Linked DNA regions of Saccharomyces cerevisiae S288C. The protein of the gene in region 2 interacts with the protein of the main gene of each other region in a biochemical or structural test. Each region holds a gene or a part of one and is shown on either strand. Other genes may lie near its edges. The genes, in order: PRK1 and GON7.

Region 1 (12,117 bases), on a different chromosome or scaffold from region 2:
GCTAATGTTCGTCCTGTTAAGTCTGTAGAGGGAGAAAAGGGTAAACCAATTGACATGGTTATCGTCAGAGAAAATACTGAGGACCTGTACATTAAAATTGAAAAAACATACATTGACAAGGCCACAGGTACAAGAGTTGCTGATGCCACAAAGAGAATATCCGAAATTGCAACAAGAAGAATTGCAACCATTGCATTAGATATTGCCTTGAAAAGATTACAAACAAGAGGCCAAGCCACTTTGACAGTGACTCATAAATCAAATGTTCTATCTCAAAGTGATGGTCTATTCAGAGAAATCTGTAAGGAAGTCTACGAATCTAACAAGGACAAGTACGGTCAAATCAAATATAACGAACAAATTGTGGATTCCATGGTTTATAGGCTGTTCAGAGAACCACAATGTTTTGATGTGATAGTGGCACCAAACCTATACGGGGATATATTATCTGACGGTGCTGCTGCTTTAGTCGGTTCATTAGGTGTTGTTCCAAGCGCCAACGTAGGTCCAGAAATTGTCATTGGTGAACCATGCCATGGTTCTGCACCAGATATTGCTGGTAAAGGTATTGCTAACCCAATCGCCACTATAAGATCTACTGCTTTGATGTTGGAATTCTTGGGCCACAACGAAGCTGCCCAAGATATCTACAAGGCTGTTGATGCTAACTTAAGAGAGGGTTCTATCAAGACACCAGATTTAGGTGGTAAGGCTTCTACTCAACAAGTCGTTGACGACGTTTTGTCGAGATTATAGAGCATATAATAGGAAAATAGAAACGAATAAATAAATGAATGAGTGACAAGATATATTTCAAAAAATTTCAAATGATTGACGAAAGAAAATTTGTACATTTTGTATGACTTTTAATATTACATAGTCTATTATGTGTGAGAGCAAGTTTTAAACTTTGCTGGGAAACCTTTTTCTAAAATCGGCTTCTAAATCATCTACGTTAACATCAACAATAGTTTCTGTGGCTTCGCTGGAAATTCTTTCAATCGGCAGTTTCTTTGATTGTAAACGACTAAAGTTTCTTATCTTCTGAATTTCTGTCCTTAAATGTAGTGGTTTTGGTGGTGGACGTGGTGGTCTTGATTTATCTTTACCGTTGCTTTTCGTTTTGATGTCCAAAACACCATCCTTAAGGGTTTTCTTAAACTTTTCTTCTGTGATTGGTGTTATTCTTACACTTGAATGTCGATTGGAAGTTTCTGTACCAATATCTGTATATTTACCATACCCGGATGCGGATTTATACGTTACCGGATCATCAGAACTCTTTAGTAAGTTATGCACTCTTCTTTGAATTGATTCCTTCTTTTCTTGATTTATATTAACGTTGCCATTATCTGGTATCAAAGTAGGCTTTGATGTCGTTTTAGCTGATGCTTGAGTTTTCTTCACTGGAGAATGAGACCTGTAATAGTCCCTTGATCCAGTTCTCGAGTTATTCCTCTCATGCTGGTCAAAATCTGATAAAATTGAAGGAGGCATACTGCGACGTTTTTCCAGTCTCTGATTCTTGTCTGATTCCTCTTTTCTTTTGGTATCAGAATTAAATTTAGGAAAGGAGGAGGTTGAAGACGAAACTAATCGCCTGTTTGTATTGTTACCATTGCCGTTGACATTGTTATTATCAAAGGAAGCAGACCTGCTATTGTTCACTGAGTTTCCTGTAAACCCATGACGAAGCTTACCAAATGCTGATCTGATACTATCACCAGTATTTTGCCTTGATTTAATCGGAGAATTGCCGCGAGATTCACCAGTAATAACCTTTTTTAACTTAGAGCTTAGTGAACGCACAATCTTGCTTCCATTTATATTATCTGGAGCAGCAATTTCTTTTGTGGAGCTTAGTGATTTGCTTGTAATGGTGGGAGATAGTTTTAAGTTTGGCACAGCCATGTTATCTATAGTTTGCGTCTCAGAATCAACGTAGTTATTTGGACGATTTATTGCCGAAACTCTATCAAAAATGTCATTATTAACAGGAGTAAGCGATAATGGAGGCATAGACTTCCTTTGTGGGGATTGGAAACTTTCTACTGATTTGAAAGTCTGAGACTTTTGAAAAGGGTGTAGCTCTTTATAATATAGTGATGCAAATTCATCAGAAAGTGGAACGGATTTTGTTTTCATTAAGGGACTAGTCAAATTTGAATGGCTTCCAACCTGTAAGCCAGCATGCGCCGTTACTTCTGTCTTGTTATTATCATTAATAGATATAGGGAAAGTACCCAAATTAGGAGTAGTACTGACGTGAGTTACAGGCATCATATTTGGTGGCTGGTTGATGCTCTGAAGGCTTTGTACGGGAATAAATTTCTGTGTTGGAACATAAGTTGTCGAAGACGGTTCACCGGCCAATTGGGTATTCGCATTCTGATTCATTGCTCTTAACAAGTAAAAATTTCTAATCGGGCAAGGCTTATTCTGTAACCTGGAAACCTCCTCTAAAACTTGACAAATATTTGGCCTCTGAGATGGTGCTTCCATTAACATAAGACGTATCAAATTTTTCAACCTGTCACTATACTGCGGAAAGGATGGATATTGATACCTTGCATGTAGTATACCGGCTTCACCACTTTTTTCAAACGGCGTAGTATAGTAACATATTTTGTAAAGAAAGACACCAAGAGCCCAAATATCAGATTTTTCGTCGATAGGTAACCCTCTGTACAGGTCAATCATTTCAGGTGATCTATACTGAGCTGTAGTATTTGTTAGGATGTCGTGTTGAACATAATTAAACTCTTGAGTATTTCTAGGTGGCCTTATCACACCGGAAACGGAACCAAAATCACAAACTTTATACAAGCCATCATGAGAAATAAGTACATTCTCAATCTTAATATCTCTATGAATCAATGGCGGCTGCAGAGCGTGCATTGCAGTTATACCTTGGACGGTTTGACTCATAATTTCTAATATTTCAGATTCTTGTAATCTATTTTGTAATCTGGTGTTCATAAAATCTATAAGACCTCCACGTTCACAAAATTCCATTAACACAAACACCTCATATGCTATACCATTTACAGACCTTGCAGCATGTGAATCTATGTAAGAAACAACATGCTTATTATTTCTAAGGAGTTTCATAGCATCCACTTCAGCTCTCAAGGTATTTAAACCCTGTTTATGGGGGACAATGACTCTTTTCAAGCATGCTATGTTAGCATTGCTATATGGGTCAGGAGGGGAAATTTCGGCAGTATATACTTGTGCGAATCCACCACTCGTAAGGTATTTGATAATCTTAGCATGATGAGATCCCACAGTTAATATTGTCCCGGGTTCATACAGACTAATCTGTGGAGTATTCATTGTTTTTGGATCAGTTCAACTAAAGATAGGAGGTTACAAATAATCTTGATCAACACTTCAATCAAAAAAGATTTTTTTCGCTGAAGATAATAAACTATCCCACAATGGAAATTCAACCTGTATTAGCGAACTAACTTATGTTCAAGTGGAGCCTGTGACCTGCCTGCTTGGTGACTTTTTTAGCGTTTCCTAAATGTACTGTTCTATATTTTTCTTTTTCCAAGACCTTCGCTCTGCATACGCCTGCCTGGTTATAATTACAGTTTTTTTTAAAAACCTTTACTAAGAATAAATAGTAACAGCTAGTGCAAACTAACGACATTGACATTTACTTGATATAAAATAATTGAGAGCGATCATATATATCGGAAATCTCTATCAGTACTAATATTAAATTTACATGAAATACTTCAACAAATTCCTGGTCTCTTGGCCCAGTTGGTTAAGGCACCGTGCTAATAACGCGGGGATCAGCGGTTCGATCCCGCTAGAGACCACTTATTTTTATGACTTCTTGGAAGTCAATTTTTTTTTCCTTCTGAATCAGTAATAACAAAAGTCGTAGTTGATCTTGTTATTGGATCATGTACATCAGTATTATTAATGATTTTAGTATTTCAAGCTGGCTCCCATATTTTTCTCCTGTAGAAAGAATGTAAATTATTCGGAAAAAAAAAAAAAAAAAGAAAAGAATTGGCGATGCGATGAGCTTAAAAGAAAACCTTCCATTACTTAAATTCATTGGAGCCTGACAACGTTTAGTAACGTTAAAATCATAGATTAACACCAATCATAACCTAAAATTATCAATGGCCAGGAAATTGAAGGGTAAGATTGGGAGTAAAGGCCTAAAAGGTGCATTATTAAGGCACAAGGCCAAAGTGAAATTAGTGAGGAATATTGAAAGTAAGCAAAAACATGAACTAAGAAAGAAAAATTCGAGCGCTAATAACAAAACCGTGAAGAGAAACCAAGAATTCCAAAAACTTAATCAAGGGAAGGTTATGCCCTTTGAGAAGGATGAAACTTTGATGCTATGTGGTGAAGGAGATTTTTCTTTTGCCAGATCCATTGTTGAACAAAACTATATTGAAAGTGACAATTTAATCATAACAAGTTACGATAATTCTGTGAATGAGCTGAAATTGAAATATCCGCATACTTTTGAGGAAAATTACCAGTACTTAAAAGATCTAAATATTCCGATATTTTTCCAGATTGACGTTACGAAGCTCGTAAAGAGCTTTAAAATTTCCAAAAATAATACTTGGTTTAAAATAATCAACAGGCTTAGCGATCATCGTTGGGGTAACAAACCTTTACAAAATATAGTTTTCAATTTTCCCCATAATGGAAAAGGTATTAAGGATCAAGAAAGAAATATTAGAGAGCATCAGGACTTAATTTTTAACTTTTTCCAAAATTCCTTACAATTATTTAATCTTATAAACACGAAAATTCAAAATGATACTCTTCGTTATACGCAAGGCTATGATCTTAATGAGGATACTCCCCAGGCTAAAAAATTGACCGCCGAAGGTTATGGTAACATCATACTGTCCCTTTTCGATGGAGAGCCCTATGATTCATGGCAAATCAAACTTTTAGCCAAAAAAAATGGACTAACTCTGAGCAGATCGAGCAAATTCCAATGGGAAAATTTTCCAGGATATCATCACCGGAGAACGAATAGCGAACAAGATACTACAAAACCTGCGAAAGAACGTGATGCTAGGTTCTACATCTTTAGTAAATATGTCTCGAATAGTTCAAAACATAACCGTAAAAGCAAAAAAGACACAGATTCTGATTCAGACTAAGTACAGAAGGAAGAATGTCGCCATGTTGATGAAAGAACTTTCATTTTCCCTAATTCTTATATAGCGTAAGTATCTGTAAAATAGTTGTGAAAGTTGGACAAATCTTTATATAAAAAAATGCATATAGCTTGAAACTATTTCAGGTTGGGTACATTTTGATAGAATCTGATTCGCAAAATATTTTCATGTCAACTGGATCCATAATTTGACCTGGATTTAAAGAAATTAAGTTTTGCTTTTTCAATGTTTTGGCCAATTTCTTCAATTTTTTACTGTCGTAAACATTTCCATTTGGTAATAGTATTGGATTTTCAAATAATTGAGACTGAATGTGATGAGCAAATGGTAATGCCTGTGTTATTGGTTTGAAAGTCTCACTGCAAACGGGACAATTTTTCCTTTTTAGTGAATGTAGCGTAAAGAGTTGTAAATCTTCAACTTCTTTCTCTGCTGTTGTGGCAGTTTCCGTCTCTTGATTTCCATTTTCATCGTCAGAAGGGTGCAGGCAATCTCTTGTCTTCAAAGACGATATACCTAGTGACAGGTATATCAATAAAGGGTCATTTTGTGATATGCCATACATGGAATAAAAGTCGCTCAAGAATAAATCATTTAATACCGACCATCTTTGATCATCTAATAAATTCAGATATCTTTCGAAATCTCCACTTTGTAAATTTATTAAGGAACTCTTGTCATAGTCTGTTGTATTCACCGCAGGTTTGGAGGTAATTCTAGGTAAAGATTTGTGAAAAAAATGTTGAAATATTCGATCTTTCTTCATTGGTAAACTTTGAGACTTAATCTCTTCAGTATCGAATCCAGAGCTGGTAGAAGAAGTTGGCTTTTGATCATTACAGTATTTGATAAAAATCAGAAGTCCAGATGCTAATTTTAAATCGGTGAAGTTGCTCTTAACGAATGGTAAAAGGAATCTTTGAAAACATACTATAGCGTCGGTATAGTTATCCACCTTTAGTAGTTCAATATATTCTTGCAATCTTGCTTGAAACTCTAATATAGAGGACTTTTTGGTCAGTGTCTTTTTGTTCTCGTTTATCCATGAAATTAGGGGTAAGAGATTACGCTCATGTAGTAACGAAGTCGAAATTCTATTAGCCTCCAAGAGGACATCATAATCAATGAGATCATCCAGTTGGCTCTGTTTCAAAAACACTACGCCAGAGTTCCAATGATCCTTTGTCTCCGAGTTGTATTTAATCGGGTTATTCCTCGTCAGATAATCACCAATTAAAATGTTTGTATAACTCTGATACCACTGTATCAATTTAGTCCTGGTACCCTCATTATTTCCATTGTGCGATGTTCCTGAATTTTGTGACTTGATGTCCTTCAGTTCGTGGAAAAACTCCAGCCTTTTTTTAATTCTGTTCAAAATCTGACAGTAGGACTTGATTTGCGTATTTAAAAATCTTTCTATATGGTCAACTTTCCTAATCATTTCAGTTATTTTTGCTAGTGCCAACTCGTCGTGCTCAACGTCATTATGTTCAAATATTTGATTTAATGCGGCCGTGTGTTCATGTAGTGATTTGGTTTCCTTATTAATTACCGCTTGAGTATGCTTGATACGTTTGGACAGTAGTTCATAAGGAATATGAAATAATTGTTGATTTAATTTCAAATGGAAATCCACATCAGGCTCATTAAATATTGATTTCTCTGCCATGGCTTACCTACTTTCCTATAATTTATAATCATTTTCTCTGTTTTATGTATGAAATTGTAGATTTAACCACCCCCTTCTCTTCGCCTTTGCAAAAAGTGAATATCTCAAATTGCACTAGAGTTTCATTTGCAGCGATAAGTGGATAACAAAAAGCTGAAAAGAGAGAGAAAGAGAGAGTGCCAGGGAAATGGATAGACCAAGAACATTACGCACATATAGAGGACTCATAAGAGCCATTCTGAAATATGAAAGGCCAAGCAAGATAGTCAATTGGGGCAATCTACGAAAGGCAATGATAACAAAGTTGGAATATGCTAAGAAACAAAATCAGAGAGACTCGCATGAGAACATCAACAGACAGTTAGAGAAATGGAAAAAACTAGATCCGGTAAGCGACAGATCTTTGAATTTGTTTATAGCCGACTCTAAGTCATTACGTTCCATATTACAAAACGATATAAAGTGGGAGAAAAAGGTGGCCCAGGGACAAAACGTTGACGAGATATTCGAACACGCTTTGGACATCATCAAGTTCTTGGACAACCAAAGAGAATACGAGGAGCTGGTCGACAGATACAATCCTGGCAACAAGTTGACACAGGATGAGAAAGTGAAAAGAACTGCAAACGTGGTTGGGCTGGACGTTCCGACATAGTATCTAATCAATTTATAATATCAGAGTTTTGTAAATAAGTATATATATATATTTGATGTAAATATCTAGGAAATACACTTGTGTATACTTCTCGCTTTCCTTTTATTTTTTTTTTTGTCTACAAACTCTGTAAAACTTCTTGTCTTATTTGATAGGCATCCCAGAATGAAGTATAGGACCAGGTAAGGTGTTGGGCACCCTGCATAAACCCTGTGTATTTGTTAAATTGTTCACTTAGTTCCCCGTCTGTTCCCACGTGAGCTTTCAGCTTGACCAAGAATGAATCAGCTAGTTGGAAGATTTTTTGTATGGTTTGATTGAAGGCAGGTGTATTGAACTCCAAAATCAAATAGCCTTCGTCATTTCCCAAAGTCGTGAGGTTGGAGAATACCAGCTCGCTCCAAAATGCGTTCGAACAATCGTTGTTCATTGGGACAACCAAGTCATGCTGCTCAGAGATGTGTCTGTAAATGAGCTGATAAAGCGTTGTTGAAGCGGTACACGTGGCCAGGACCCAGGGATTTCCCTCGCCAAAGCCATATCCATCATATACGTCCTCAGGATACCGGCCCAGGGCAATACCCGTTGCATTTTTGGAGCTATCGTTGATGGGGTATATCGAACGCATGTGCAACATCAAATGGTGCAACGTGTTCAGGACGGCAGGGTCATTGATATCGAACGGAAGATGGGAAGCAGATGGCGCATCGTGGACGGTGTTCGCAGCTAATAAAGTGGATATGTCCAGTCCGGATCTCAATGTGTCGGCAATCATGGGTGTCCCAACAATATAATTGTACTTGCCGTTGATAAACCCATTCGCAGGGTCCACTAAAAACTTGGAGATGTCCCGGCGTGTCTGACGCAATTCTTCAACAAAGGGAGACGACCGTTCTGAGGCGTTAAAATACGACAGCGACTTGTCCACTGCAGACAGTTGTACCAGTAAAGTAAAGAAATGCATGCCATTGACTTCCTCCCATAGATCAAATCCGGAAGAATTCCAGTGGTCAATAATGAACCTCAGGTCCCAACGTACAATATCATCAAAGATATCTGCGGTGGACTGGAATGGGTACTTGGCCCCCAGATCAGTGCCAGATTGCTTGATGTAGTCGATGATTTTTAAGATGGCAATGCTTCGAAGAGCAGGCCCATCGTTTTGAGGACGACCCCAATCTTCCGTGAAAGCCGTGTTGTCGACGTTCCACTTAGGGTCTCCCAAAGCCACTGTATCGTTAGTGTAACCAATGCCAGCGCCCAATGTGTTGTTGCTTCTTTGCAAGTGGAATGAAACGTTCAGGTACTGCAATAACGTCTCTATTGCCGGGCCCGCAGAATGAGAGACAATACTGTTTATCGTCAACGCGCTGTCCCTTATCCATTGGTAGAAGTAGTCTGGATGCGTTTGCGATGGTGACGCAATCACGACCCCAGGCGAAATAGACGGATACACGGCGCTGGGCCCAATATTTTCAAATATTTTTTCGATGGAAACTTTTTTCTGTCCCTGGAGCCATTCCTCCAGCGCACTACTGTCCCAAGCGCCGTTTGAATCGTATACCACTGTCCCATTCATCAAGACTGCATCCCGCAGCTGCACTTGCGAAGGGCCGTTGTTTGAAAATACACCGCCGTAGCTTTGATCGAGAATGCCCTTGCCAAAGTCAAATTCGTATATAGTAATGTTCTCGAGCGCCCAAGCAAACCCGAATCCTACGCTGAGCATGCCGAGTAATTTGTTATAAAACATCTTTTGTCTTGCCATTTTGCTGCTGTTACTTATTTGAAATCTTGCTCTAGTCCACGATTATCACTATATTGTAAATGTACGATTTCTTGTGTAACAGAACAGATAACGGATCCAGAGCCAAGAGATGAGAAAAAATACGAAATGCGCAGGAGGAAACAGGGAACCAAAAAAGGACCCTTGCTTCTGTGCCTGAGTCCCCTAATTTGTGACTCCACACATGCAGGCAAGTTAAAAGCACCTTGTACGAGTGCTATGAATGGGTGTTACTCTGGCCCGATTTCCCTGACTTTCCTTATTCACCCTCACCCCTAATACCCGTTTCCGCGGATAATGTTCTATGCTTCGAAGCGCCCCCCTTGCGCTGGGCCTCGAACCGCATCCATTGAACAACAGCTTGGCCTTCCCTGTATTCTACCACATCCATTGCTATTGCCCCTCTCCCCTTCTCCTCTCTCTTCTTCTCCACTATACTGTGCTTTTCAGCCCATTCGGCGCGCGAAATCACAAGCTGTATATATACATTTACATATACATATATATATATATATATATGTGCATAAATGTATGTACATATATGAATGCCGGGCCGCGTGGCGTCTGTAGCTTGTGCGTGTACGTGTGTACACACTTCAACATATATATACATACATATATATATCTATTATTCGTGTACTAGTGTTTTAACTTGCTCGTTCTCGGTACGCATCCAGTTCTTCTCCCCACACAACGGCAAGCTCAAAATACCTTATCATAGACACCTTCTCCAACATGAAATATCCCGCTTTTAGCATTAACAGTGACACGGTACACTTAACGGACAACCCCCTGGACGACTATCAGCGTCTCTACCTCGTCAGCGTACTGGATAGGGACTCGCCGCCGGCCAGTTTCAGCGCCGGACTCAATATTAGAAAGGTTAACTATAAATCCTCCATTGCTGCGCAGTTCACACATCCAAACTTCATTATCAGTGCTCGGGACGCAGGGAACGGGGAAGAGGCGGCGGCGCAGAACGTTCTGAACTGCTTCGAGTACCAGTTTCCCAACCTACAAACAATTCAGAGCCTAGTCCACGAACAAACGTTGCTATCGCAGCTCGCTAGCTCCGCCACTCCTCACTCCGCCTTGCATCTGCACGATAAAAATATTCTGATGGGTAAGATCATACTACCTTCCCGGTCTAACAAAACACCAGTCTCAGCATCACCCACCAAGCAAGAAAAGAAGGCTCTGTCAACAGCATCGCGTGAAAATGCCACCTCCTCGCTGACAAAGAATCAGCAGTTCAAGTTGACCAAAATGGACCATAATCTGATCAATGACAAGCTCATCAACCCTAACAACTGCGTAATATGGTCGCATGACTCCGGCTATGTGTTCATGACGGGCATCTGGCGGCTGTATCAGGATGTTATGAAGGGGCTTATAAACTTGCCCAGAGGTGACAGCGTTTCCACTAGCCAACAGCAGTTCTTTTGCAAGGCTGAATTCGAGAAAATTCTATCTTTTTGCTTTTACAATCACAGTTCGTTCACTTCTGAGGAATCTTCAAGCGTACTGTTGTCGTCCTCCACCTCTTCGCCGCCAAAGAGACGGACATCCACAGGGTCTACCTTCTTGGACGCCAATGCGTCTTCTTCATCTACTTCTTCAACGCAGGCAAACAATTACATCGATTTTCATTGGAACAACATCAAGCCCGAACTGCGGGACCTTATTTGCCAGTCTTACAAAGACTTCCTGATCAATGAACTTGGTCCTGACCAAATAGACTTGCCCAACTTAAATCCGGCAAATTTTACGAAAAGAATAAGAGGTGGTTACATCAAAATTCAGGGTACTTGGTTGCCGATGGAAATCTCAAGGTTGCTATGCCTGCGGTTTTGTTTTCCGATCAGATACTTTCTGGTGCCTATTTTTGGTCCAGATTTCCCCAAAGATTGCGAATCGTGGTATTTGGCTCATCAAAACGTTACATTTGCTAGTTCTACCACTGGTGCAGGTGCTGCTACTGCTGCTACTGCTGCTGCTAATACAAGTACCAATTTTACGTCTACTGCAGTGGCAAGACCTAGGCAGAAGCCCAGACCCAGGCCAAGACAAAGATCTACTTCCATGTCCCATTCCAAAGCGCAGAAACTTGTTATTGAGGACGCCTTGCCCTCATTCGACTCATTTGTAGAAAACTTGGGCCTTTCCTCAAATGACAAGAACTTCATTAAAAAAAACAGCAAAAGGCAAAAGTCGTCCACATACACCTCTCAAACTTCTTCTCCAATAGGGCCAAGAGATCCAACGGTGCAAATTTTGTCAAACCTAGCATCCTTCTACAACACCCACGGTCACCGGTATTCATATCCGGGAAATATCTATATACCACAGCAAAGATACTCTTTACCCCCACCAAACCAGCTCTCGTCGCCACAGCGGCAGCTAAACTATACTTACGACCACATTCACCCAGTTCCTTCTCAGTACCAGTCTCCAAGACACTACAACGTCCCCTCTTCACCAATCGCGCCTGCTCCTCCCACTTTCCCTCAACCTTATGGTGATGATCACTATCATTTTTTGAAATATGCTAGCGAAGTTTATAAGCAACAAAACCAACGACCAGCTCATAATACAAATACCAATATGGACACCTCTTTTTCGCCAAGGGCGAACAATTCACTGAACAATTTCAAATTTAAAACAAACTCAAAACAATAAAAATGTCATCTGTTACATTTTTGGTAATATTCTTTTATAATGGTTCTTTAATTTTTTTACATAATTTACATATTATTTCAAAGTTTTTCAAAAATATCCGTACTATATGTTTTTCCAGACAAAACATAAAACATACAATGATCTTTTTGAA
Region 2 (15,850 bases):
CAGAAGTCAACATCAAGTTATGGACTTGAGAAATAAATCTCAACTTGAGAGGTTTACATGACTTTACCAGGGACCTCCCGCCAAATATAACCACATAATACATGGCAATAAAAAGCAGTACCGGACGAGGTTCACTCAAAGGCTGCTTCCCAACGGTAAACTCAAAATCCTTTGGCTGGAAGCGACCTGCAGTGGCCCACCCAACCGCACGATTGAAATAGTCCCACAAATAAATATTAAAAAAAGGCCTATCTATTGTTGGGCGAAACCTAGAGGCTTTCTCGAGGCAAAAATTTTTCCAATCACTTACCATACTTGCTTGCAAATTTAGCTCTCAAGTTCCTTAAAATTGATAAGGTATCCTACCTTAATATTCATATCAGTTAGTCTTATATACTTCTACCTCTTTTTCTGGCTTCCTTTCTTTCCCTTATGTCCTTCGGTTTACTAATCCGTAAAGCCGACGCGGGTAAGCCAAGACCCTGAGTTTAGAACTAATATTTCGTCACGTCACGTAAGTGCAAGGTAATAAAAGCAGCAGAAATATCTGTAGTTTCAACAAAATATGTCTGGCTTGCGATTTGTTGTGTTTTGAAACTAGTTGCTAGTCTGCATTCCTTTGTTTTCCCTGAATTACCCAAAGAAGAAAGCGACGCGAGGCCTCACGCGTCGGAGTTTCCAGATCAGGAAATTACCCACTTAGGAAATTGAGTTGGCTGGCAGAAAAGATATAACGCCATCTTGAAAAATAGTATTAGTTAGTCTATTTTTTCATTTATATAGTAGAGGTATATTCTCTGGAAGAACAATTTTGGAATATTCAGAACACTGCGCTGCACTATTTTCATCAATAGTACCATATACGTTCATGTCAGCTATACCAATAACTCCAACTAAGCGTATCAGAAGAAATCTATTTGACGATGCTCCAGCAACGCCTCCACGACCTTTGAAAAGAAAAAAGTTGCAGTTCACAGATGTTACACCAGAATCATCCCCAGAAAAACTGCAGTTTGGCTCACAGTCTATTTTTTTGAGGACAAAGGCACTTTTGCAGAAGTCATCTGAGCTAGTCAACTTGAATAGCAGCGATGGTGCATTGCCAGCAAGAACAGCAGAGTACGAACAAGTTATGAATTTTTTGGCGAAGGCAATTTCTGAACACAGGTCCGATTCACTGTACATCACGGGTCCGCCTGGCACTGGCAAGACTGCCCAGCTTGATATGATTATAAGACAGAAGTTCCAGTCCCTCCCATTGTCGCTCTCCACGCCACGCTCGAAGGACGTGCTGAGACATACGAATCCGAACTTGCAGAATTTGTCCTGGTTTGAATTGCCCGATGGAAGGCTAGAATCCGTGGCGGTAACCAGTATTAATTGTATATCGTTGGGAGAGCCGTCCTCCATTTTCCAGAAGATTTTCGATTCCTTCCAAGATCTGAATGGCCCAACATTGCAAATAAAAAACATGCAGCATCTACAGAAGTTCTTAGAGCCTTATCATAAGAAAACTACGTTTGTGGTTGTGTTGGACGAGATGGACAGGCTATTGCATGCTAACACGAGCGAGACACAATCAGTTAGAACTATTCTTGAATTATTCCTTTTGGCGAAATTGCCTACTGTGAGTTTTGTGTTAATCGGTATGGCTAATAGTCTAGATATGAAAGATAGGTTTCTTTCCAGGTTAAATTTGGACAGAGGGTTGTTACCGCAAACTATAGTTTTTCAGCCATACACTGCTGAGCAAATGTATGAAATCGTCATTCAAAAAATGAGTAGTCTGCCCACTATTATCTTCCAACCGATGGCCATCAAATTCGCAGCAAAGAAGTGTGCTGGAAATACGGGTGACCTTCGAAAACTTTTTGATGTCTTAAGGGGAAGTATCGAAATCTATGAGTTAGAAAAGCGGTTTCTGCTTTCACCAACAAGAGGATCATTGAACTCTGCGCAAGTTCCTTTGACGCCAACTACTTCTCCGGTAAAGAAATCGTATCCAGAACCACAAGGTAAAATAGGCTTGAACTACATAGCCAAGGTCTTCTCAAAATTCGTGAACAATAATTCTACGAGAACGAGGATAGCCAAACTAAACATCCAGCAAAAATTAATTCTTTGCACCATAATTCAATCACTGAAGCTAAATTCCGATGCTACAATCGACGAATCGTTTGATCATTATATCAAAGCGATAACAAAAACTGATACTTTAGCACCATTGCAGAGAAATGAATTTTTGGAAATCTGTACAATTTTAGAAACTTGTGGGCTGGTTTCAATCAAAAAGACAAAGTGTAAAGGGAAAACCAAGAGATTTGTTGATAAGATTGATGTTGATCTCGACATGCGAGAATTTTATGATGAGATGACCAAAATTTCAATTTTGAAACCTTTCCTTCACTAGTCAGCTAATAGATTTATTTTTTCTTTTTTTTTTACAGTTCCACTTGCATCCCTCATTTTTCACATTCCTTTTTTTATAGAAAAGCATATCACTATATAAAAATTCTATTATAGTTGTAACAGCATAGCATATTATAGACTTTTTTTTTCTGGAAACGGTTAAACCGTTTGGCTGAGATGCAATGATATACGCAACATTGCATTCAAAGAAATTGCAAAAAAGACACAATAAAACGTAATTTGTACAAATATTTTACTATCATTAGCTACTGGATGCAGAATGGATGATTGTTAGGGGGAGGTGGGGTACAATTGTTTGTTTTTGATACATTTTCTCTTTCAAATCGCAACCAATTCACTCTGCTAATGTGATAACAATGGCGCCTGTCGGAAAGGTGAAAAAAAAAAAATGCAAACAAATAAATTGGCACGGTGTGACATATGCCTTCTATAATAATGAAGGAACTCGAAGAAAAAGGGGAAAACGATGTTTCAACAGCTGTCGGCATCCATTAGGCACAATGCACACATAATTTTTTTATGCATAAGTTGGTATTTTATTTCATCGTTGGCATCTCAGGTAACGAAGCAGGTACTAACGGTTTGCCCATTACCACTTTTTTTGGGTGAGTTTCAGTTCATTTATACTGCTGTGCTAGCATGGTTTACGTGTTATATTGCATATAGTTTCCCAGGATTCTATCGCATATTTCCTAATGGTACTTTTCCGGAATATTATATCGACGACAGAGAAACTAGCCGTGCAGCTAGGAAAGAATCAAAACTATCCTCCCTCATTATACCGCCCTCTAAACCAATCCTGCAAACAGTTCTACCTTTAGGTCTTTTCCAATTTGTAGGGAAATATTTTGGGCATACAGCTACCTCTTTGGTGCCTGTTTCCACGGTTGCAAGTATAAAAACGCTATCCCCCATGTTTATCCTTTTGCTCCAAAAGATTTTGAAAATATCCACTTTGAAAATTACTTTAACTCTTATCTTTAGTTTATGCACTTTAGTTCTTGGAGTTTGGATTATAGTTCAAGAAGATAATCGTTCACCGGCCTCTTCCAATGAGCTGAGAGAATTCTCTAAATACGGCGTAATATGCGCTATGATATCAATGTTCATTTTTGTCTTGCAAAATATATATGGCAAGACCGTGTTCACGTACAGATCTCAAACAGATGAATCTCAAAGTAATTCTGGATTCTCACGGCAAGAATCACCTTTACCCTTATATGAAAAGTTGGATGAGAAACTTGTTGCGAAAAAGAAACCTAAATCATATGACAAATTGACTTTAATGATTTATATTTCCCTTGTTGGATTTTGTTTATCGTTTGGCTGGTTTATCACTCTAGAATTTCCTGTACTATTTAGGTATTTTTTTCAAATTAACAGCTCTTCTACAGTAATAAAAGCTTTTCCAGTCTCTTTATTTTTACTGAACGGGACATTCCACTTCATTCAGGCAATGATTACATTTCATTTACTGGGTGAGGTCTCAACTTTAACATATTCAATAGCGAATCTGATGAAGCGCTTTGCCATTATTGCGGTTAGTTGGGTCTTTATTGGAAGAAGAATTACTTGGCTGCAAGTGTTCGGTTTGGTTCTGAACACATTAGGGTTATTCCTTTATGAAAGATGCACATCACAATCGAAAATAAAAGCGAAAATACGTCCTGAGTAGTTTAACATGATAGAATATAAATGCAAATAATATTTATTCCCTTTAGGAAATACGGGTGTTTTGAATTTACTTATCTGTACCATACATAAAATTTACATATAATAATAGAATCTTTATCAACACATAATAGTCACTCTACTTTGAGGCAACGGCAGCATACTTTTCTCTTTGTTTTCTTTTTGCCTCCTCTCTGATGGCTCGAGCTGTTTCGGGGTCCAACTTTTCTACTATGATTGGGAAAACGACAAGGGCAATTAAGGTAATAACGCCCGCCAGTTTCCAACGTGAGTTCAAAATATTACCCACAATACCTGTAGAAAAGATACTGACGTTTCTAGCCTGTAAATAAGATCTAATCGGGGCCTTATGTAAAAGCTCCACTGTAATATAAGGGTGCACCTTCATAGATTGTAATTTTTCTGGGTACGTTATATCTTTGGATGGGAAATATTCTCTTCCAAAAAAGTTCTTGAACGCGTTCAATTGTAAGGTGCCATTCTCTAAATTCTTGAATTCAATAAGAATTCTGTTTGGCTTCAGATTGAAGTCCATAGATGCTGGGTACATCACATAGTATGTCGTTTCATTAACACCGTCGTTTAAAGGGAGATTAGCGAATTCAAAGTTGCCTTCGTCATCTTGAAACATGGTCGTAGATGTGTAAGGATATTCTGTCGAAAAATTGCCGATCTGATAAAGTTTGAAACTTGTTCTAGTTGAAACAAAGCCGGTGATGTTACTTGCTGCTAAGTCTAAGCGACCCTTAATGGTCCCTCTCCTGGCCGTAGCACTGGCGACATAAATAAATGCACTGAGTAAAAGAACAATCTGTGAAAACATCGTCACACTGCTCTTTCACTTGTTGATCAAATTTACTTTGATGATATTTAATGGCTTGACAAATTCGTTCATCTTAATTTCATACATAATTTCATCCTGAAATCCTCGATCATTTTCGAGACTGTTTTTCGAGCTTGATTTTATATGTGGTGTAAACACATCATTGTACATCCTTGCACCACACTGAAAAGAATATGGAAAAAATTTCAAACTTTTTAATGGGTGATAGACTTGAAAAACAAAACGGAATAAAAGATATAGTCGCAAGAACTTGCCTTCTACGAGTATAAAAGCGGTACTATTCCTTCTGTATGCATCTTCATCGCAAGAGAGAAAAAGACTGAAATCAACAACTCCCAATAACAATTAAGAATGGCTAACGGTACGTGAAAGGGGTGATATCCTGTTTAAAACCATTTAGTTATTCTTTTTTTCAGATGGAGACTGTGATCGGGTAGCGCATGATGTTATTATTGGAATTTTATTTTTTTTGCAACTTTGAAGCACTCCTAACTATATTGCAATAGTGTTATGAGATGCTACTTATGTTTGTAAGGCCATGAAATTCTGTAATACGGAGTTAAAATTTCTGCAATAAAGCACTTCAATGCTATTGTGTTATAGAGGCTCTGCGCTCACCCTTAATACTGTATCATCTGTAATAAAGAATGTTTATCTTAAAAGGATTGTAACTAAATGGTTGTTAGATAGTGACTCATTCGTTTATTTTTTAATAATCGAAAAAGCAGAAGTTCTGTTTACTAACAACTATACCTCTTATCATGTATAGACCTTGTTCAAGCTCGCGATAACTCTCAAGTCTTTGGTGTTGCCAGAATCTACGCCTCCTTTAACGATACCTTTGTACATGTTACCGATTTATCTGGTAAGGAAACTATCGCCAGAGTTACTGGTGGTATGAAAGTCAAGGCCGACAGAGACGAATCATCTCCATACGCTGCTATGTTGGCTGCCCAAGATGTTGCCGCTAAGTGTAAGGAAGTCGGTATCACTGCCGTTCACGTTAAGATCAGAGCTACTGGTGGTACCAGAACCAAGACCCCAGGACCAGGTGGTCAAGCCGCTTTGAGAGCTTTGGCCAGATCTGGTTTGAGGATTGGCCGTATCGAAGACGTTACTCCAGTCCCATCAGACTCCACCAGAAAGAAGGGTGGTAGAAGAGGTAGAAGATTATGATTTCTTTTTTTTTTACTCTATTAACGCATGGAAATACGGCTTTACCTTCTCACATAAATATAGTTTGTTTAATTAATAAAGCCAATATAAACATTTGCATATTCGACTTCGTGCATGCAGAAATGCGGCAGATAAATTCATTTCTGTCTAATCTTTTGAACAGTTTTAAAGTACAAATATATTAGTATTTAACAGGAAAACTAAAAAAATGTATAATAAGAAATGAGTAAAGTTATGAGGCTATCTTGTGTTTATTATAGTATATAAAGCTACCGAAAAGGTTGTTGTAACAAGTAGCTTAGTAAACGAAACCCAAAATCTTACCAGAAACGTGCTTTCTTCTGGCTTCTTCATGGTCCATGATACCAGCAGAGGTGGTCAAGATGACGTAACCGAATTGTCTGGCTGGCAACAAGTTGGCAGTCCATTTTTCAATGTCACCAATCTTAACGTTGAATCTTGGGGAAATAACACCACACTTGTTCAATCTACCGTTCAATTGAACAACAATCTTACCAGATCTGTGGTCATCGATGTATTCAAATTCACCAATGTAACCGTGCTTTTGCATAACTTGCAAAAACTTGATAATGACCTTGGAGGATGGTCTGATTAAAACTTGACGCTTACCGGTCTTTTCAGCGTTGTTAATGGCATTCAAAGCATCAGCTAAAACGGAAGATCTGGTCATCTTGGATATGTATGTTGGTCTTGTTTTATAAAAAATACTAGAACTGAAAGGCCATTAAAAAACCTTACAATTTAAGAATTGAATAGTCGATTAAGATTATTTAGATTGAAATTGACTAACTGCAAACCCATATTCAAGAATTATTTCACATCTTCCAGCGAGTAAACATGCCGCTGGTAATCGCGCGTCCTCAATATTTGAGTTTTTCAAATAGTGAGGTGTGGATGTATAGAGGAATTACACACTTTTAAGTATGTGATGTATGGGCGCACAGTACCAATTTAACTTTTTTTTTTTTTCATTTTTTAGCTTGATTTTCAAAAAACTTATGGGCGTTTTAGGCTCCGGCTCAAACTACCACCACCACGCGGCAGGCCGAGGCAAACAGTACGCCTTGGCGGGGACGCCGAAGCGACTCCTTCTGTTCCAAGCTCAATGGTCCTTGCGTTTACGCTCGCGCGTGGGCTAACTAACGCAATTCGGCTTTTGGGCTGTCGAGAACCGAGAATTATTCTTCGCCTTGATAGATACTTTAAAACTTCTACTTAATATACTTTCTACAATTTTTGGTACATTCATATTATACTGAAAATTCGAAAAAGACAAGCAAATAAACACAGATAGATCAACATGGCTGTATGTTAGAAAGATATTATAAATCCCAGTTAGATGCTGAACTGATCAATAGCAAATTATAAACCACATCCATCTAAATGACCTTACCACCTACAATTTGGATTTGAAATAGAAGCAATGTGTAAAATATAGGGAAAGGATTAGGAGTGTTAACCATACTAAAATTTTTCTTATCCGAAACAGAAATCTAAAGTCGCCACTACGCAGATTAAAATATGGTCATAAACTGCTTATTCTGAGAACTTTTGGTGGTCCAGCGTGGTTTATGTCAGGTGGTATTGCCTTGGATCCGTGAATGCATCACATTGATGAGTTTGAACATTGTTACTAACATTTTTTACAATTGTACACTTCGTATGTGCACGATATGTTTCCCTTTTAATTAGGCTCAAAAGTCTTTCAGAATCAAGCAAAAAATGGCTAAGGCTAAGAAGCAAAACAGACCATTGCCACAATGGATCAGATTGAGAACCAACAACACTATCCGTTACAACGCTAAGAGAAGAAACTGGAGAAGAACCAAGATGAACATCTAAGCGAAGAACATATTTATGCTTCAAACTTTTTGTCATTTGTCTTCCATCCTTCCCTTATTCTCAATATATATGTAATACGTCGTATTTGATATATATATATATATATATATAATATAATTTAACGGTTGTTATCTGCTACATCTGTAAAATAAAAATAAAAATGCTTGAAGCGGCTGTACTTAAAATAAACTCATCTAAGGTTTTACATGGTATTACTACCGGACTGCAATTACACTCTTTTTCGTTATTGGATTATTTATACAATGCGGCCCATAAGCACGTGTGGGAAAAAAGTATGTAAATAAAACAAGGTTTTTTGTTCCATTTATCATATAAAAAATTTTGGCTTAGGTCCAAAGTCGTCTTCCTGGATAATAGCACCTGCATTGCGTGTCATTTCTACATACAGGCATTCCTCAGTTTGTAAGATTTGATTTGCCGTGGGCCTTCTCTCATAATTGGGCTCTATCATCCATCGTACTATTCTCTCAAGTGATTCACCATCAATAAGAAATTTCGGTACCCATGCGGGAATTTTAGAACTTTTATGCAAAATAAGACGATTCTTGGTAGCGGCAGTATTGACATTATTATTATCGTTGCCATTATTCATATTAGGGTTGTTGATATTACTATTGTTATGAACAGTGGAGGTGCCAGCGTTGTTACTATTACCACTGATATTGTCTCTTTCAAAATCAAATAAATCATTTGTATCTACTTTCGTAATGTCTGAAAATAATGATTCAGAATGAATATCTGTGGAACTTAATCTTCCTGCATCCGATAAATCACCCGATCTCAACTTATGCCATGCGTTGCCATTGTCAGGTAACACAACGTTCGCTGCAATTTCAACAATCATCAGACCCAGGGAAAAAATATCTGCCTTGTAATCGTACGTACAATCAGAAATGATTTCTGGTGCAATATATTCTCTGTCACCTTCATTTTCAAAACTTTTATCCTCCAACGGTAAATGAGTAGCCATTCCAAAGTCACCTAGTTTTAGGTTACCTTCAAATGTGATCATGACGTTTGCGGGTTTCAAGTCCAGATGCACAATGTGACAAGAATCATGGATGAATCGTAAAGCCAGGCTTAATTCCACGATGATTTTCCAAATTCTCCAATCTTCCAACCTTTTTTTCTTTGCGATAACTTGCTCTTGTAAAAATCCATCCAAATTACCATTTTCGCACAATTCTGTCATAATATAGTATGAATTTTGAAACTTCCAGGAACTGATGTAATCGATGATGTATTCCTTCCCTTCTTGATCCATTGTAATTTGGTTTGTTACCTCGTTTAGTATTTTAATTTCCAGTAATATGCGTTTCAAGGAATTATATTTGTTTGGTTTAATGGCTTTGATTGCATACTTTTTGTTTGTTTGGGCAAACGTAACCTGGTAGACCGTGGAAAACTGGCCTTTACCAATGGAATGCACATTCGTAAATTTTTCGAAAAGATGGGAATCTGGATTTGCTGATAACTTATTTGAAGAGATTAGACGCCTTTTGGAATTTAACGGCGAAGAATCGGTGGAAGATATGGAATGCGTCTCTGCACTTGTTGTGTTTGTCACGATGGCAGAGGAGAGTGACAATGGTCTGCTTTCTCTATGTGTTTGAGATGTTGCCCCAATAATAGATTTTCGTCTTGTTGGAGTGGAGATCTCTTCGTCAGTGTCATTGTCATAGCGTCCACGAAATTGATAAGGTTGAGGGTTCTTTCTAGTTGAATGATGACTTGATATTATGATTGGAGGTGGGAAATTCTCGTCCGTGCCGTATAAATCATCTTTGAATTGTTGTAAACTGTTTGTTAGCTCTCTATTTTTCAAAATAACCGAATTCCTTGCTCTTTTGATTTTTTTGAACTTGTTAGAATGCAATGTTTGTGGAGAGCTGTTGGTAACCAAGCTATTAGTGGGAGACAGGATGTTTGTCTGGTTATTGTGACGATCATGTGCATGATATTTTGCCTCGCTCAGTGGGGATGAGTCTATGGTTGGTACATGGATGGAAGGTAAAGCTTTCGAAGACGGAGAATCTGAAAATAAAAGGTCTTCTTGTAAATTATTGTCTTCAACAAAATTTAAAGGGGAAACACTTAGAGAAGACGATGCATTTTTCGAACTCGAAAGGTGGACATGCTTATGGTCTCTTCCCTCCACTAAGGGTGATTTTTTCACTGGTGTTTCTGGTATCCTCAATTTCGCAGGGTATAACGAAGTGTCCATAGACATTTTAGATACGAGGCCCGAAGACGTAAAGGCTGATTGGTTAGGTTTAGCGACGCTATATGAAGAGGATGAGGATGTATTTTCAGTGCGAGCATCATTTTTCGGAAACCATCGCTGGTTCCATTGTTTGAGAGAAATAGGACTGTTCGTTTTTTCCGCAGATCTTTTTGTAATAGGAGTAGTAACACTTTCATTTTCATGGAACGGAGACCACCTTTTAATACGAGAATCCACGCTTTCCTCATCCTTGCCTTCTTCCTCCTCTTCTTCCTCTTCTTCAATTTTCCCAAGAAATTTGGAGTTAGCCTCTGACAAAGCTGTATTACTTAATGACAGGTTCAAGGTCCCCGTACTTCTTGTCAATTTGTTGTTCGAATATGGATAAAATTTCAGTTTATTGGTCGGGGTGCTACCCCCTATAGCAAAATCATCACTCTCGTCTTCGCCGGCCTGTTTGCCAAACATCTTCTTCCCCATAAACTGGAGGTTCTCCGTGTCCAGCATTTCGAAGTCCTCTTCATCCTCGTCCAAAGAACTCATCTGTTCTCGTGTGCGCCTGTGTGTGTTTACTTTTCCCCAGCACTACGCAATCAAAAATAGTAAGACCTGTTCAGTAGTAATCCTTTTTTTATTGGACTAACTGCGCAAGATGATGTGCAGGATAGTTAACACACGCATACATACAAAAAAGAGCCTCTTGGACAACCTTTACTTAATACACAGGGGCACGCCAATGTTCAACTGTGTTGTTGATTTCTTATCCAGCATTCTTTTACTTCTCTGCATTTTTTTCGCGTCGCGTCGCAAATTGTGATGGTTAAAAGAAAAATGAAAAAATATTTTTCGCGTCGTTATCACCCGGAGGAATAAAAAAAAGAAACATACACATCACGTGACCACAAGAATGTTAGAAAGGCTTACCAGTACTAGAGACGTTAATAAATTGCGAATAGCCCCCTATCTCCCACATGTTGGCATCTGTGAGGTGGAACCTATTTAAAGGTGCCACATTTCTTTCCTTAGAGGACGATGGTTGCAAGATCAGCACAAATCCATAGTTTGATGCATGGAAAGCGAAGCACTCTAACAGAAGTAAGATAATAAACAATCTCACGATTCTACTGATTTAAGTGCAACTAGCTCTTGGGCTTCTTTTGGTTGCCAAGTCGGAATAGACGACAGATGCATGTTTCGGTGCAGAGTTCAGAGAGATAAGTGCCTTCTTTTATCTTTTTCCCCGTTCTTGCGGATTTTTTTTTTCACTTTCTCATCGGCGGGGAAAAAAAAGTGTAACAACTAAAGGATCAACACGGCTTTAAAGTGTTTTATATATACGCAGATATGAAAAAAGCATTTTCACGGTTATTGGAAATTTTTATTTTACGACTGGTTCCTAGCACAACAAGAGGATATACTAATAGTTCAGGTTACAATGCTGATTAGGTTAAAGAAGAGAAAAATCCTGCAGGTCATCGTGAGCGCAGTAGTGCTAATTTTATTTTTTTGTTCTGTGCATAATGATGTGTCTTCTAGTTGGTTATACGGTAAAAAGCTTAGATTGCCGGTTCTAACAAGGTCGAACCTTAAAAACAATTTTTACACAACACTGGTACAAGCCATCGTGGAAAACAAGCCGGCAGATTCGTCTCCGGACTTGAGTAAGTTGCATGGGGCGGAAGGGTGTAGCTTTGCAAATAACGTTGCTGCACACGACTCTGGACACGATAGTGACTTAAGTTACGAGAGCTTGAGTAAATGCTATAATTTGAATAAAACAGTACAAGAAAGCCTACGAGAAGTGCACAGTAAGTTTACAGACACCTTATCAGGGAAACTGAATTTTTCCATCCCACAAAGAGAGGCACTTTTCTCAGGTTCTGAGGGCATTGTCACCATTGGAGGTGGAAAGTATTCTGTGCTCGCGTATACGATGATCAAAAAGTTGAGGGACACGGGTACTACATTGCCTATTGAAGTCATCATTCCGCCTCAGGACGAAGGCGAGGATGATTTTTGTAAGAACTGGTTGCCGAAATTCAATGGTAAGTGCATTTATTTCTCAGATATCGTTCCTTCAAAGCCATTAAGCGATTTAAAACTCACGCACTTCCAGTTGAAAGTCTTTGGGTTGATAATTTCCAGTTTCAAGCGTATTATCTTCTTGGACGCAGATAACTATGCGGTGAAAAACCTTGACCTTGCTTTTAACACTACATCCTTCAACGATACTGGCCTGATATTGTGGCCCGATTTTTGGAGACGTGTCACCCCTCCCGCCTTTTACAACATTATAGGATCTAGCATTAACATCGGCAAAAGAGTCCGTTTTGTTAGTGACGATATTTCCCCCGTGTCACGTTATGATCCATTTGTTAGTAACTCAAACGATTACACTCCAAAGGAGAGACAGGAGCATTTCCTGAAACATGTTCCCTTACATGATCTGGACGGCACGATGCCAGACTTGAGCTCTGAATCAGGCCAGATGGTGATTGATAAGATTCGCCATTTCAACACTCTATTACTGGCGCTATACTATAATGTTTATGGGCCTACCTGGTATTATAAGATGATTTCTCAAGGCACTGCCGGTGAAGGTGACAAAGACACTTTCGTCGCTGCTGCCCATGCCTTGAATATGCCATACTATCAAGTGAGGACTAACTTTGAATTTGATGGTTTCTTCTATCAAAAAGATGATTACAAGGGTCTCGCCTTGCTCCAGCATGATTTTGAACAAGATTACAAGCAATACCAAAAGGCGCAGCAGAAAGTTAAAGCCAACATTGAGGAATTTTCCAAACTGGATCCAGATTATACTTTGGACAATGGTTTCTTGAAAACTTTGATGGTTAATGATGACGGTTCTGATTTGGATATCATGTTCATTCATGCCAGTTTCTACAAGGCAGATCCATGGACTCTTTATCATGAAAACAGATTTATCGGTCCAAATGGCGAACAAGTACGGGGCTTCAGGAAGCCGCATCGCTATGGAATGGATTTTGAATTGTTTTTATTCAATGATATGAGGGGGTCCTTCTGTACCACTCCGAAAAGCCAAGTTATTAAATTCAAGTATTTTACCGATAAAGTTAATACCCCAGAATGGGATGCAATGTGTGAGTATTTGACCAATCATGTTAATTATCTGGAGAGCACACACAAAGAAGCTATGGGGGAGAAAAACTAATGAAGTGATTAACTATAATAATTTAATAATAACTCGCCATCCGACCTTGTATAATATAATGTAGCATATATGTGCACGGATATATATACATCTTAGAAAAAAATGAAAAAATGAAACCAAGAAAAAACTAACTGATGGTGTTCGGACAACGTTTTAGAATGAGGGTATCTAACTTTCTTCTACCATTCTCTGTCCAAAAACCTAGAAAGTAAAGTCCAGCCAAACCAAGATGTGTTTTCCAACGACGAAGACGCTGCGCTTGGTGAACGGTTTAATGTTTCTCCAGTGCTCTCATCTGTAAATCGTGACCGCGATGACGAATCTATATCTACGTCTGACAACCTGTCGAATTCAAGAGGCATCGAGTAGTAATTGAAAATAAAGTCACGCTGGGGGAAAAAAGATGGTATATCGTCAAATATTCTTTCATGATGGTATGTCAATAATTGCCGGCGAGTTTTCTCGCGGTAGCATGTTCTTAGAATTGGATACAAGTCTCTTGATAGTTTCTGCACAGCAATTCTTTGGGCATTTGTAAGTTTCTTTAATTTCGCAGAGGTATAAAGTTCTCTTTCCTTAAAGGAATAAACGGGAAATCCATGATTGACACCGTCGCTTGATTGAGGGACATTTTGATGCAGCTCATTAAATAAATGGCTGCCCAAACACCACTCATCGATCCGGTCAGAGTTACTAGACGATCGAATGTTACGAAGAGCGGGCGCCGGCTGCTCTGAGGGCGGAGAATTTTTATTGCTGTCACTGGATATCGACAGTATAGCAATTTCGTCAGAAGGAACTTCGAAGGCACTACTTGCAGATTCCAGTGTCTCATCGCGACTAATGGCAGTATTTGTACATTCTGGAGATAAATCTGGGTTATTGATAACCCTTACATCATTGAATGACTTTAATCTATGGAAGTCTAGCTCAAATTCCTCTTCTGAGAGTTCCAGGACTTCAAATAGCGATTCTTCATCGTGAATGCCGTTATTAATTCTGGGTTGAATGCGAGCAGACCTTGACCCGCAATCAACCTGGTAATTGTTCACAGATGCCATTAATGAGCTGTACTGACCACCAAATTTTAGTATTTTAAGCCCTGAATACAACCTTTGCTCCTTGTCGACATTCGTAAGTATATAGAAATCTATCCCTTCAAAAGATTTGTATTATTCGGGATTACGCTACAGCCGCACGTAGATCGTACGTGTATAACGATGTTTATCTTGGTGAAAGTATCTTAACGCGAATGCTCTAGTGATGGCACAATAGAATAGTGTCTTAGCACCACAGAGCGTGATTTTTTAAAGCTCTATATTAGCAACTACGATAGGTGTTTATTTAGTTTCTTTGTTGATCTTCCTGTTTCCAGTGTTACGGCCTTGTCAGGTCAAAAATTTTACCCGGATCTCTAGTAATGAGTAACTTAAGAATATCCCATCTGATTATTGGTAGTTTTACTGAACCAAGTTAGAGCTAAATAAATATATACAGCCGATAGTGCACTGGAACCTTATCCTAATATCTCAATGAAACTACCGGTAGCACAGTACAGTGCACCAGATGGTGTGGAAAAAAGTTTTGCACCAATACGCGATGACCCTCGATACATGACCACAGAGGGAAGGACAACTGGGCCCAGTGACCATGTGCTAAACGCTGGCCAAATCGATAGAGACAAACCTTCAGAACCGGAACGCACGAAAGATGGCTCACAACTGACATACTTAGGCCAGCTGCGCACGCAGCTGACGGGGCTACAGGACGATATTAACGAGTTTTTGACAGGAAGAATGGAATTGGCAAAAAATAAGAAGAAAGCCGGCGCAGACGAGAAGCGGATCCAGGAAGAGATTAACCAGCTATTAGATGGTGGTGACGGTGACGAAGATGCTGTTTAGGCAACGATATGTAGCGCTAGAGAGTGTATATACAAACAGAAAAGAGTCTAATGATAAATGACAAATATTTCGTTACAAGTGATAATTGTTGAACTAGGAAGAGTTGATATAAAAAAATAATAAACACACGATGGGATACAGTTAAGAAGGATTGATCGACTCCTAAATGATGCGAAGAAAGCCAATTTTCAACTTGGAATCATCCTGCCGGTTTGTTGTTGGTGTTAGCTGTGTTAGGACTCGTTAAAATGGCAATCAAACCAAGAACGAAGGGCAAAACGTACTCCTCAAGATCGGTGGGTTCGCAGTGGTTCAACAGGCTTGGTTTCAAGCAGAACAAGTACGGAACTTGTAAATTTTTGTCGATAATAACGGCCTTTGTTTTTATCCTCTATTTCTTCTCCAATCGCTTCTATCCAATTTCTCGTTCCGCCGGTGCATCATATTCTCCATCCCATGGGCTGTATATTAACGAAATTCCTGCCTCCAGCCGGTTGATT

What was found.
Region 1: of the proteins of GON7 (region 2) and PRK1, one has a biochemical effect on the other in vitro, tested with the Saccharomyces cerevisiae proteins (one study listed by BioGRID).

Annotation. Positions count from the first base shown.
Region 1 is NC_001141.2:175,156-187,272, reverse strand, and holds PRK1 (serine/threonine protein kinase PRK1), read right to left. Parts: upstream 3,337-12,117; coding exon 904-3,336; downstream 1-903. Other genes in the region: LYS12 (homoisocitrate dehydrogenase), read left to right, coding at 1-756; BMT5 (25S rRNA (uracil2634-N3)-methyltransferase), read left to right, coding at 4,146-5,156; glucose-induced degradation complex subunit FYV10, read right to left, coding at 5,296-6,846; FMC1 (Fmc1p), read left to right, coding at 7,034-7,501; SGA1 (glucan 1,4-alpha-glucosidase), read right to left, coding at 7,620-9,269; XBP1 (Xbp1p), read left to right, coding at 10,023-11,966. UniProt on the Saccharomyces cerevisiae protein: Protein kinase involved in the regulation of actin cytoskeleton organization and endocytosis. Phosphorylates PAN1 which disrupts the interaction between PAN1 and END3, and between PAN1 and SLA1. Phosphorylates SCD5.
Region 2 is NC_001142.9:68,470-84,319, forward strand, and holds GON7 (chromatin DNA-binding EKC/KEOPS complex subunit GON7), read left to right. Parts: upstream 1-14,978; coding exon 14,979-15,350; downstream 15,351-15,850. Other genes in the region: fatty acid elongase ELO1, read right to left, coding at 1-313; AAA family ATPase CDC6, read left to right, coding at 869-2,410; YJL193W (uncharacterized protein), read left to right, coding at 2,897-4,105; SOP4 (Sop4p), read right to left, coding at 4,241-4,945; 40S ribosomal protein uS11 RPS14B, read left to right, coding at 5,318-5,327, 5,736-6,142; 40S ribosomal protein uS8 RPS22A, read right to left, coding at 6,441-6,833; 60S ribosomal protein eL39 RPL39, read left to right, coding at 7,464-7,469, 7,856-8,005; tyrosine protein kinase SWE1, read right to left, coding at 8,334-10,793; alpha-1,2-mannosyltransferase MNN5, read left to right, coding at 11,686-13,446; ATG36 (Atg36p), read right to left, coding at 13,626-14,507; and 1 more. UniProt on the Saccharomyces cerevisiae protein: Component of the EKC/KEOPS complex that is required for the formation of a threonylcarbamoyl group on adenosine at position 37 (t(6)A37) in tRNAs that read codons beginning with adenine.